3 linked regions of the Coturnix japonica genome follow. The protein of the gene in region 3 purifies or fractionates together with the protein of the main gene of each other region. This does not show direct contact. Links are inferred from orthologs where the notes say so. Each region holds a gene or a part of one and is shown on either strand. Other genes may lie near its edges. The genes, in order: MEAF6, ING4 and JADE1.

Evidence for each region.
Region 1: the proteins of JADE1 (region 3) and MEAF6 purify together in Homo sapiens (affinity purification with mass spectrometry; 5 studies listed by BioGRID and IntAct, counting the BioPlex papers as one, with this or other methods). This does not show direct contact. The link is inferred for Coturnix japonica from reciprocal best matches to the Homo sapiens genes JADE1 and MEAF6.
Region 2: the proteins of JADE1 (region 3) and ING4 purify together in Homo sapiens (affinity purification with mass spectrometry; 4 studies listed by BioGRID and IntAct, with this or other methods). This does not show direct contact. The link is inferred for Coturnix japonica from reciprocal best matches to the Homo sapiens genes JADE1 and ING4.

The regions. Positions count from the first base shown.
Region 1 is NC_029538.1:3,342,671-3,346,844, forward strand, and holds the start of MEAF6 (chromatin modification-related protein MEAF6), read left to right. Parts: upstream 1-1,339; 5' UTR 1,340-1,389; coding exon 1,390-1,485; intron 1,486-1,609; coding exon 1,610-1,725; intron 1,726-2,185; coding exon 2,186-2,273; intron 2,274-2,380; coding exon 2,381-2,426; intron 2,427-2,848; coding exon 2,849-3,038; intron 3,039-3,281; coding exon of another isoform or gene 3,282-3,306; exon of another isoform or gene 3,307-4,024; intron 4,025-4,174.
Region 2 is NC_029516.1:69,398,948-69,402,582, reverse strand, and holds the end of ING4 (inhibitor of growth protein 4), read left to right. Parts: intron 1-145; coding exon 146-312; intron 313-488; coding exon 489-603; intron 604-908; coding exon 909-1,017; intron 1,018-1,334; coding exon 1,335-1,482; intron 1,483-1,858; coding exon 1,859-1,920; intron 1,921-2,148; coding exon 2,149-2,188; 3' UTR 2,189-3,019; downstream 3,020-3,635.
Region 3 is NC_029519.1:30,521,782-30,524,888, forward strand, and holds part of JADE1 (protein Jade-1), read left to right. Parts: intron 1-836; coding exon 837-954; intron 955-1,836; exon of another isoform or gene 1,837-1,842; coding exon 1,843-2,741; 3' UTR 2,742-3,107.

The sequences.
Region 1 (4,174 bases), on a different chromosome or scaffold from region 3:
ACTGGTTCTTATGGTTTATTGTGGGGGACTCCACTGAATATTTGGCTTTGGTAGGTCTGTATAGTGGGAAATCTGACTTATTTCACCCCCCTGACAAGCAAAAGAGCAGCTGGATGTGAATGATCTGATGCTGGAAACATGTTCAAAGATGGTTTTCTGCTGGATAAAGAAACGATGTAGAACACAGCAAAGTGTATTTAAGAATATTTTTATCCACTGTTTTTTGTCATAAGCCTTTGAAAACGCTACTGAACTGAGGTGTTAGTTTCAAATGTAACCCCATGCATTGTTTGTAATGTCTTGTTTTGTAGAGTTTGCCAAATTCTAGAGTTCTAGAAGGGAGAATGACCAGGTTTGCTACTAAAAGAGGGATATTGCAAAGGTTTTATGTGTCCTGGGTGGTTGCTCTGCACTGTGAGCAATGGGCATTTGACCACAATGAGCTGCCTGTCGATTCCAAGGTAAGTGAGAAGAAAAGGAAACACAACCTGAGGCTTTTAGGTTGCAACGATGTGGTTTGGGAGGGCTGAGGTCCACATCAATGCACGCTATACATTGCAGCACCCAAACTATGGCTGACTGTCATGTATCTCCTAAACCTCAGCCCTTTGTTTCTATCAGCTCCATGAGTAACTTAATGTTTTTTGTTTGTAATTGTACTCGTTACGTGGTGGCATGTTTTTATTACCCGGTTTGCACTATTTAAGTTTTTCTTTATATATATATATATATATATAAAAAGAACTGAAGCTCTCGTTGCTTTCTAACATTCTCCCCCACAGGAAAAGCTTTAGGAAGAGGAAATTAAAAACCCCAATGACTGGAAACAAACACATCTCACCTCTTTGTGGCTGTCTGTTCCCTATGGTTTCCATGTTGATGCTTAACACACTGTTGCCTGTTTGTTCTATGGCCACACACACAACCTGTATACACACACTGGAGCATTGATGGTGTAAATACGGGGTGTTGATATAGGTTTTCATATAGAAAGCAGGATAGATCTTGGCTTGAAGGATCACCTTTATATATATACACAATCTCAAGGTTTTTAAATAAAGAATTTGTAATTCTATTTAATTGTAATGTTTCTTTCCTATATCCCTATTTCCCCCCCATGCACTGCACAGGGAAGCACTGAGCCCTGCTTTTGAGCTGCTGAGTGAGCAGAAGGGTTCAACCTTATATTCGAGGTTTGCCTTGTTGTTTATTGCACAGACCCAAATCCTGGATGCTTTTAGGGCTCCCCATCACCCCCCTCCCATGTCCCTATTAAGCCCGACCCTATAGCGGCTGCGGGGCGGAGCAGGGGGGCGGAGCGCTGTTCAGTGCTGCCCCCTAGCGGCCATTCCCCGCAGCCCCGCCCGCTCCCCGCAGGCCGCAGCCGCCATGGCCGCCCTGCACGCTAAGTCCGGCGGACCCCCGCAAATCCCGGACACCCGAAGGGAGCTGGCCGAGCTGGTGAAACGCAAACAGGAGCTGGCGGTGAGCAGGGAGCGATGGGGACGGGGGGGATAAAGTGGGAAGGCGGTGAGGCTTGTGGTTGTGGTTGTGGCCTTAAGGTAAGGCCAGGCCCGCTTCTATGCATCGCGCTGTGTGTGCCCGGTAGGAGACGCTGGCCAACCTGGAAAGGCAGATTTATGCTTTCGAAGGGAGTTACCTGGAGGACACGCAGATGTACGGCAACATCATCCGCGGCTGGGACCGTTATCTCACCAACCAGAAGTGAGTGTGGACCCCAAACCCGCCCTCCCATCCATCCCAACCCCCCACCCCCCCTTTCCATGACCCCCAAACCCCCCTCCCATACATTCCAACCCCCCCCTTCCCATGGACCCCCAAATCCCCCTCTCCATCCATCCAACCCTCCCCGGCTTCCATACCCCCAAACCCCCTTCCCATTCTCCCAACCCCTCCCCTTCCCATGGACCCTCCAAAACCCCCTCCCCATCATCCCAACCCCTCCCCTTCCATGACCCCCAGAACCCCCCCTTCCATGACCCCAAACCCCGCCTTCCCATCCATCCCAGCCCCCCCCTTTCCATGGACCCTCAGCCCCGCCTCTCTCCCATCCATCCCAACCCGCCCCCCTTCCTTCCATGGGACCCCCAAACCCCCCTCCCCATCCATCCAACCCCCCCCCCCCCTTCCATGGGCCGCCTCCATCCTCTTTTCTCCTTTGCAGGAACTCCAACAGCAAAAACGACCGCAGGAACCGCAAGTTTAAAGAGGCCGAGAGGCTCTTCAGCAAATCCTCAGTCACTTCTGCTGCGGTAAGAGCTGCCCCCAGCCCCCAACCCCATGGGACCAAGCTGCTGTGGGTATCTGTTAAGCCATGAGTGCATCCCTGTTGTCATTAACACCCATTTCATCCTTCCAGGCTGTCAGTGCGTTAGCTGGAGTCCAGGATCAGCTCATTGAGAAGCGTAAGTCACCTCTTCACTTGGCAGAATTAGGAAGAATTGAGCTTCTCCCCACAGCTCGGCCCCATCTCTGCTTTGTTGGGCTCTCTGCTGTCCACTTTGGATGGAGAAACCAGGATTGAAGTGATGCCTTTAGATGTCTTGTGTCTCTCCATCAGCTGCACGTGGCTATGGGAGGAGATAAGAGCTTCACTACTGGAGGCTGCAGCCTGTTGTGGGCATCCAGCTTTAAGACCTTTCCTTCTGCTGTCACCATGGCTTTGGGTCTGACAGCAGGGCTGCATTTCCAGTCCTTGGCACCAGAAATTTGGGTGTCTGTAGTTCTTGTAGCCCTTTTTTCCCCCCCATACTTTGCAGGAGCAGCCCTGGGATGTGAACAGTGAGGTGATAATCATTGGGCTCTTCTGCTTCTCGTCCCATTCCAGGTGAGCCGGGCAGTGGGACTGAAAGCGACACATCTCCAGACTTCCATAATCAGGAGAACGAACCCAGCCAGGAGGATGCTGAGGAGTTGGATGGATCAGTGCAAGGGGTGAAACCCCAAAAAGCAGCTTCTTCCACTTCTGGAAGCCATCACAGCAGCCACAAAAAAAGGAAGAATAAAAACAGGCACAGGTTAGTGGCACCGACAGCCTTCTAGTAGTGCAATGGGAACGGTTGGCTCTTGCTGATGATGTGAAGGGAGCTAGTAACTCGTCAGGTCGTTTGGTTCTATCACTTGCTTTGAAGCTGCCTGTGCTCCTGCTGCTCTCCTTGTGTCAGGGAGGGAGGCAGCTCAGCAGGCATATTCAGCACAGGGTACTCACAGCTCAGGTGTTTCTGACCAGGCTTTGTGGGTTCTTTTCTCTTTTCAAGCAGAATAAAGCTGTCTTCCCTGCAGTAGAGGAAGATGACAGCCCCGGCTTCCTGTGGTTGTTCTTTGGTTTCTACTGAGCTAAGGGAGATAGGAATGTCAGTGCTTTCTTTGGAGGAGGAGGATGGAAAACAGCTTAGAGTGTTCTGGGGGCTGCCGACACTCACTATCTTTACTACATTTTCTACTCCAAAGCTTTCCTGTTATCGTGTCCCAGAGTCCTTTGATTATAGCACGTACAAGTTGCTCTATCACACAGACCACAAGCTCTTGTTATTAAACTGGCCTGAAATTCACATGAAACAGATTTCCTGAGCTCTTTGTGATTGAATTTAGGTGACCACTTCAACCCTTTAAGGCGCACCTTCAAGGCAAGATGCAGCACAGTGGGCTGACAGCTCACATTGGGATTCATTGAATTCCAGTGCTGCTTTCCCTGGATGTCAGGTTCTTATTGAGCTCATTGGCTTTGGGTATGGATGGATATTCCTCTTTGAGGAGCCTTCCTATACAAATGGTTTATAATACAGTGATAGATCCCACAGGGACTGCTGGGAAAAGGTCTGTCTGGGAGACACCAAGGTAGGTGTAGTGCCTGAAAGCCAATTAATTACGACTTATTAGTTAGATTTTCAGCCATTAGCATTTTTAATTGGAAGGTCAGGGTTTTCTCCCCACAGCAGCCTTATTCAGGCACACATCCCAAAGTATTGGATGTCCTTTTGGGTTCCTCCTGAGCAAGGAACCAGCAACAGTTCAGAAGTGGTTTTTAGCCCTCAGGCAGTTGGGAGGAAGGCCAGGAGTAACAGAGCACGTCTCTAAACCACTTCAGAGAAACAATCTGTACGACTGAAGTACAGCATAAGAATGCTGCTGTTTCAAACAGAATCCAAAGCAC
Region 2 (3,635 bases), on a different chromosome or scaffold from region 3:
GTGCAGCCTGGATGGCTTTTCTTCCTTTGCTTTCATCACTGGGACCTCGGGGAAAAGCAGGAAACCTGCAGTTTTCTTAACAGAAGGCACTATAGTGCCTATGTATGTACATGTATTTATGTGTTCAATGGTCAACTTGTTTCAGACCTCAAATCGGAGATTGATAAGTTGGCCACGGAGTATATCAGCAATGCACGGACTTTGTCGTCAGAGGAAAAACTGGGGCTTCTCAAGCAAATCCAGGAGGCCTACGGGAAATGCAAAGAATTTGGGGATGACAAGGTTCAGCTGGCTATGCAGACCTATGAGATGGTATGAAGGGAAGTGTCTAGTGATTGTTTCATGAAAGGCTGTGCTGAAGACCCTGATCTCTCTCTTTCAACCCTCACCCACTCTTGCTTTCCCTCTCTTAGAGCAAGCCCTGTACCCTGTCCTCTTTGCTGTCTTGGGCTCTGTTCTGTGGTAACTCCTGATCACTGTCTTTGCAGGTTGATAAGCACATCCGACGGCTGGACACAGATCTTGCTCGCTTTGAAGCAGACCTGAAGGAGAAGCAGATAGAATCGAGTGACTATGACAGTTCTTCCAGCAAGGGCAAGAAGAGTGAGTACCACCACTGGGCTGCAGATTGATACAGGAGGCAGCCAAGTGACTGTGGAAGTGGTGGGGATGAAGGCAGGCACTGAAGTGGTACAGACTGTTACGCTGGAATCTGAAGGACAGGTAAAAAGATGGTGACCAGGGCTCTTCTTGTGTGAGCGTATTCAAGGCCACTAGATAAAATTAAGCTGAAGTGCGTGGCCCAGAGTTCTGAAGTAGGAGTGCATTTTGGTGCTGAAGAGGTTGTTACTGTCGGGTGTCTATTTTGACAGGATGGGATATGCAATAACTTTTTCTCTTGTTGCCAGAGGGCCGAGCCCAAAAAGAGAAGAAAGCTGCACGTGCACGCTCTAAAGGGAAGAATTCTGATGAAGAGGCACCAAAGACTGCCCAAAAGAAATTAAAGCTTGTCCGCACGTAAGCATTTAAGACGCTTGGGGGAATGAGGAGCAGCACTACAAATCAGACTAAGAGAGACTTAGCCAGGCTTCCCTATGAAGAGTTTAATCCCCACCCAGACCAGATGTTGTATATTTCTCCCTGGAAAGAAAGGAGGGAGACCTTTTAGTTTTTTTCAAGGGATTGTGGTGTGAAGGGGAAGACAGATCACTCTAGTGGATGTGGATGTATGTACTTAAAAAGGAGGAGTGGCAGTCTCTGGCAAGCAAGGGCATTGTAATGGGAGATATGATGCTAGTTGATTTACTGACCTGATTTATTTCTCTTTCCTGTAGTAGCACAGAATATGGGATGCCTTCAGTCACATTTGGAAATGTGCACCCTTCAGATGTATTGGATATGCCTGTGGACCCCAATGAGCCTACTTACTGCCTCTGCCACCAGGTCTCCTATGGGGAGATGATTGGCTGCGACAACCCAGATGTAAGAGCCTGTAGTTGATGGATGTGGGGGAGAAGGGAATGGAGAGTCTTGTGCTGCTTGGGTGGGGCCTGATATAGAGGCAGTGACAGTAGCAGGGCTCAGCTGGGAAGAGCAGTGGACTGGCCGGTTAAGTGCAGTTTTCTTTGGGGTTTTCCCTAATACGACTGATATTTTCTTTGCCCTGTACTCAGCAAGGGAGAATTCTGCTTATGAACAACGTGTAGGTTGGGTGTGAGACTGTTTCCCAGCAGATCCCATTAGGGTTGCTACTAGTGATTTCAGAATTCGTGATTAAGCATTGGGAAGTTTCAGCAGACCATAAACAATGATTTCAAGAGAGAACTGCTTTTTAACTGAGTGCTCTCCACCTCAACAGTGCTCCATCGAATGGTTTCATTTTGCCTGTGTGGGTCTGACAACAAAACCAAGAGGAAAATGGTGAGTGAGTGATTAAAACAAACGTTCTGGAGGGCCCATTGGTCTCTGGAAAGAGGAGGTCGTGGGTGACAGAAAATAAGAGATAAATAAATAAAGGAGAAAATAAGACTTTTTCAGAAGGAAAATTTGAATTAAGACTTTGATATCGTGGAAAAGATCCTTTGAAACTGTGATTTCAGTGTTTGTATCAGATCATAAATGCTGGCTTTTTGCTTTCCTTTCTACCAGGTTCTGCCCTCGCTGTTCCCAGGAGAGGAAGAAGAAGTAAAATCCCATGAGCCTTGAATACTGCTGCAGGAGCTCTCTTCCCCCTGCCAGGGCCTCGTCCCAGCTCCCCCAGCCCTTGGGACCTTGGCTAGGGGGAGTCTTGCCCTGTTTGTGGTTTGGGCCATCCCTGGAATGGTGTGTACCCTTGCGGCAGTTCCAGTGTGTCCTGTATCCCTGGCTGCTTCCAAATCCTTAAGGGAGGCCCTCTCTGTGTACTATTCCAAACAGGTCTCTGAACCTCAAAGGGAGTGAATGAGGGCACCAGGGTAGCCACCAGATTCCCAGGGATTCAGGTAGCCCCTGATTTTCCTTGGCTTTCCTTCAGCCTCCTCAGAGTTCATTGCCTACTCTCTGCTGAGAGAACAAGGCTATGGGATGGGGGAAGGAAAGGAGGTAAGTCTTCAGCATTTTAGGTCTTCTATTTTCCTGGATCTTTTTCAGGAGAGAGGGAGTAACCAGGCCACTGCTTAATCTAGTAGCTTGGTTGAGAGACTGAAAACTTTAACGTACTCCCTATCTTTAATCATTCCACTACTTTGTCTGGCATTGAGCAGCCTCTTTTATTGGGGCAAGGAGGAAGAAGGAGAGTTTAGAGCTAGCTTTCTCTCTTACTCCTGGGGTAAACCTGCTGGCCTGGGAAGCACACTGTATGAAGGAAGAAGAATTTCTGGCCATGTGGTGAGAAACGGTTTGATTTAGCCTGTCTTCTGGCTCCAGAATTCTCCCTCCCTTTAGTACAGTGGGGCTTCTCCATTATGTTGATGATGGAAAGCTGAGGGATCCAAAATCCCACTTGTATACTATAGAATTAAATAAAATTCATTCAAACAAATGCTCAGTTTTGTCTTGCTGTCACCTCCAAAGTAAGTAATTGGTCTCTTTCTTAGATCTTTCTCAGCTCAGCTTTTCCACTGATGAATGCAGCACAGCTTTTTTCATGTAATAATACTGAACGTTCTGCCAAGGTCATCCTTTAAAATACATCCAATACACTCGGTCAAAGAATTTCTAAGCTTTCCAGTGTCTGTGGAAAACATCTGCCTCCTTAGTCCCATCCCCACAAATGACAAGATGCTTATTCTCATTTTTGTTGTTTTTTCATCTGTAATCTCTTAAATGAGTGAGGAAGAACAGAGATGACCAGCCCTCGCTATGGCTGTCGGGCAGTACAACTAAGAAAATAAGCCATCGGCACAAAGCTTTTGCATCCAAGAATGTGGACAAGTTTTTTTAGATATCCTGTTAACTTGTTCCCCAGTGAGTCACCTTCACCTTGTACCACTTTGCTGCCAGAAACTCCAGGTACTGTTAATAAAGTAGTGCTGTAATGTTGGCAAGTGAGGAGATGTTCCTTACTGAAGCTGGCCCTTATCAGTTTAATCAGTTCCTAGAATCAGAATTGTTTGAGTTGGAAGGGACCATTAAAGGTCATCTAGTCCAACTCTCCT
Region 3 (3,107 bases):
CAGGGTTCTTTTGTGCTCAATTTCTACATGCAATAGGACTAAATTCTCCATTCCCTTCACAGCTGTTGCCTCTCTCAGTCATCAGTGACACATCTTCTTGTTAATAAGATAAGGATGTATCTTAGTAGAGAGCAAGAGGGGACCTTACAGACTGTCCTGTTCCCTTACTGTTATTTAGAAAGAATGTTTTTACCAACCATGCTTTTGTGCACTCTGGTCTTCACTGCCCAGTCATGCACAAAGCTTAGAAAATACCTTTTACCTATCATAATTGTGCCCCATGCAATGTCTCCTTATCATGCTCTGCACCTTAGAGTCACTTACCACTCCAGACAGGGGGATTACTCACAGAGTCCTCTGAACAAGACTATCCGGGCAAAGCTTCCCAGCTGTCCCATTGGGGTGACCAGAAAACTGCTGTCTGAAAAGTGGATTTGGTGCCTTGTGTACAATATGTCAATGAACGCACACTCAGGAGAGACGTTGCTTTTTGGCCTGTGGATGTGACTTTTGCTATTATAGTGAAGGTGGTTCAGCAAAAGATACATGGACTCTTGAGTTTTCTTGCCAAGTTGGTAACATTCTCAAAGCATCCTGATTAATGTTCCACTCAAGGCCTGCTGGCTCTGGGATGTCTCTGCTTAAAGGATGCCAAGATGCCGTTTATTCTTCTGATACTTAATACAGCGTTAGCTCAGTTTTTAGAGTAAGCTCTCCATGTAAGTGTACTTCTGCAGTGTGGACCTCCCAGATCTGATAAACTGTCAATTAAATGGTATTAAAGACTGTCTTTTAAGAAGTGTTTTGGAGACTCATCCACTTTTGATGCCTTCTAGGTACGTAATCTCACTTACATGGTGACTCGAAGGGAAAAAATCAAGAGATCTGTTTGCAAAGTTCAAGAACAGATATTCAATATCTACGCAAAACAGTTGGAACAAGAAAAAGTCTCAGGTATGCTTCAGCATTGTCTTTTTCACGTGACACCACAGGCATAGACACTGAAATGTTTAGAGTGGAGTCTAGTCTACTTCAGAGCAGAGTTTAGTGTAGAGTCTAACAACTGATTTTGAAGGACAAGCAAGACCTCATTTATTCTCATTAGAATTGTATGTAGTCCACCATGCATCAGCAGATTGGAAGAACATAAAAATTTGCATAGCTCTAATGGAGGGCACATTGTTATAGAAACAGGTAAGCCTGTATTATCCTTGGAGGACCAAATGGCTTGGTGCTTCAGGTCCTGTCAGTTGTGATTCTTTAATGACACCTTTTGACAGAGAGACCATGACTTACATTCAGGTGCCATATGGTATCTGCTAGGTTTATGTTTTATTAATGCCACTGCATTAGTGTTTTTCTTTGCATTGTAGGGTAGTTTTGAAACATCATACTTTTTCTGCCTAATCTTACTGAAAGTAGTCTTTACTCCCAGGAGAAGAACTTCAGAGTTACTGTATTAACTCAGATTATCCTCAAAGCATCCAGCAACGAATTAATTTTAGACAGAATCAATCATATTGACCTGCTGATGGCATATCTTACCCCATCTGAGGAGTTCCTATGTCTTAATGCACGTAACAGCACTAGGAATTGTATTTGCTACAGGTTTAATTGGCCGTAGCGTGGCTACGGGGAATTCAGCAACATCAGCAGTGTGCTGTGAAACCAGGATGTAGCCATGTAGTCATGATGTAAAGGCGCTGGATATGCAACCAAATGCCCATTTACACTTAAAAAAGTTGTCTGGCAGTAGTGGTGTTAAAATATGTACTACTTTAAAGCGGTATTTGCCCAGACATGGATTGCTTGACTTCAACCTAAATTTGTTTTTACCTTTAGGTGTGCCTTCTTCATTCTCTGCAATGGAAAACGCAGTGTTGTTCAATAGTCCATCTTTGGGTCCCAATGCCCCTAAAATTGAGGATTTGAAATGGCATTCAGCGTTCTTCAGGAAACAGATGGGCACATCTCTAACACACTCTCTGAAAAAATCACACAGAAGAGACAGAGTAAGTAATAGCTCTGGGAACAGTAGCAAGGCAACGCTGAGGCAGCCCAGCCAAAGGGGAGACGGTGCAACTCCAGGAAGCCTTTTAAATTTTGACAAGAGCTTTGCAGAAACACGGATTGTATCAGCACAGCAGAAGAATGGCATAGTTATGCCAGACCACAGAAAAAGAAGAGACAATCTTCCACAATGCGAGGTAATCAAGACAGAACTAAAAGAAAAAACTAAGCATAACCACAAACCACTGAGACCCACAGAACTCTCTCAGAGGCAATCAGAAAACAAAAGGGCTGTGAACCACTCCAGTGGTAGGTCAGCACCTGGCACGCGGAGGGATATAGTGCCTAAATGCAATGGGGGTCTTGTCAAAATAAACTCCAATCAGACAGTAGTTAAAGTGCCTATGACACCCACGAGCCCAGTGAAAAACTGGGGCGGATTCCGGATTCCAAAGAAGGGGGAGAGGCAACAGCAAGGTGAGAGCCCAGAGGAGACCTGCCGCCAGAACTCTGGTTATCCCTACCTAGGCGTGGGCAGAGTGTCACCGAAGGATAGGGCAAAAAGCAAGCCGAAGCCTGACAGCGAGAATGATGGGTACGTCCCTGATGCTGAAATGAGCGACTCGGAAAGCGAAGTAGCTGAAAAAAAGTGCAGACAGCAGAGGCTCAGCCCAAACAGCACTATCAGCAGAAGGACGGACATTATTAGGAGAAGCATCCTGGCATCCTGACCGGGCAATGGGGCACCGTGGTCAGTGGTCACTGCCTACAAACCAACTTCACTTTATTTATTGGTGTGAGAGGGGAGAGTTCTTAGACATGGCTACAGACCAACAAATAGCTAGCCCGTTATTCCTGAGCTGTATGAACATGTTTACATACACTTAAAGCTGGATTTTTTGGCCCCCTGGCCCATTCCGTGACAAGTTTGATTCTCCTTTATTTGCATCTTCCCTGAGTAAGCAGAGAATTGGCATCACTACTAAAACAGGATGTTAGTGATGAACACTAAAGTAAGTCACAAAATCATCTAGGGGGCTAGGGTGGGTAGTGGGGAATTAGGCAGCATCATCCCTTTTTGCTAAACTGCACTGTTA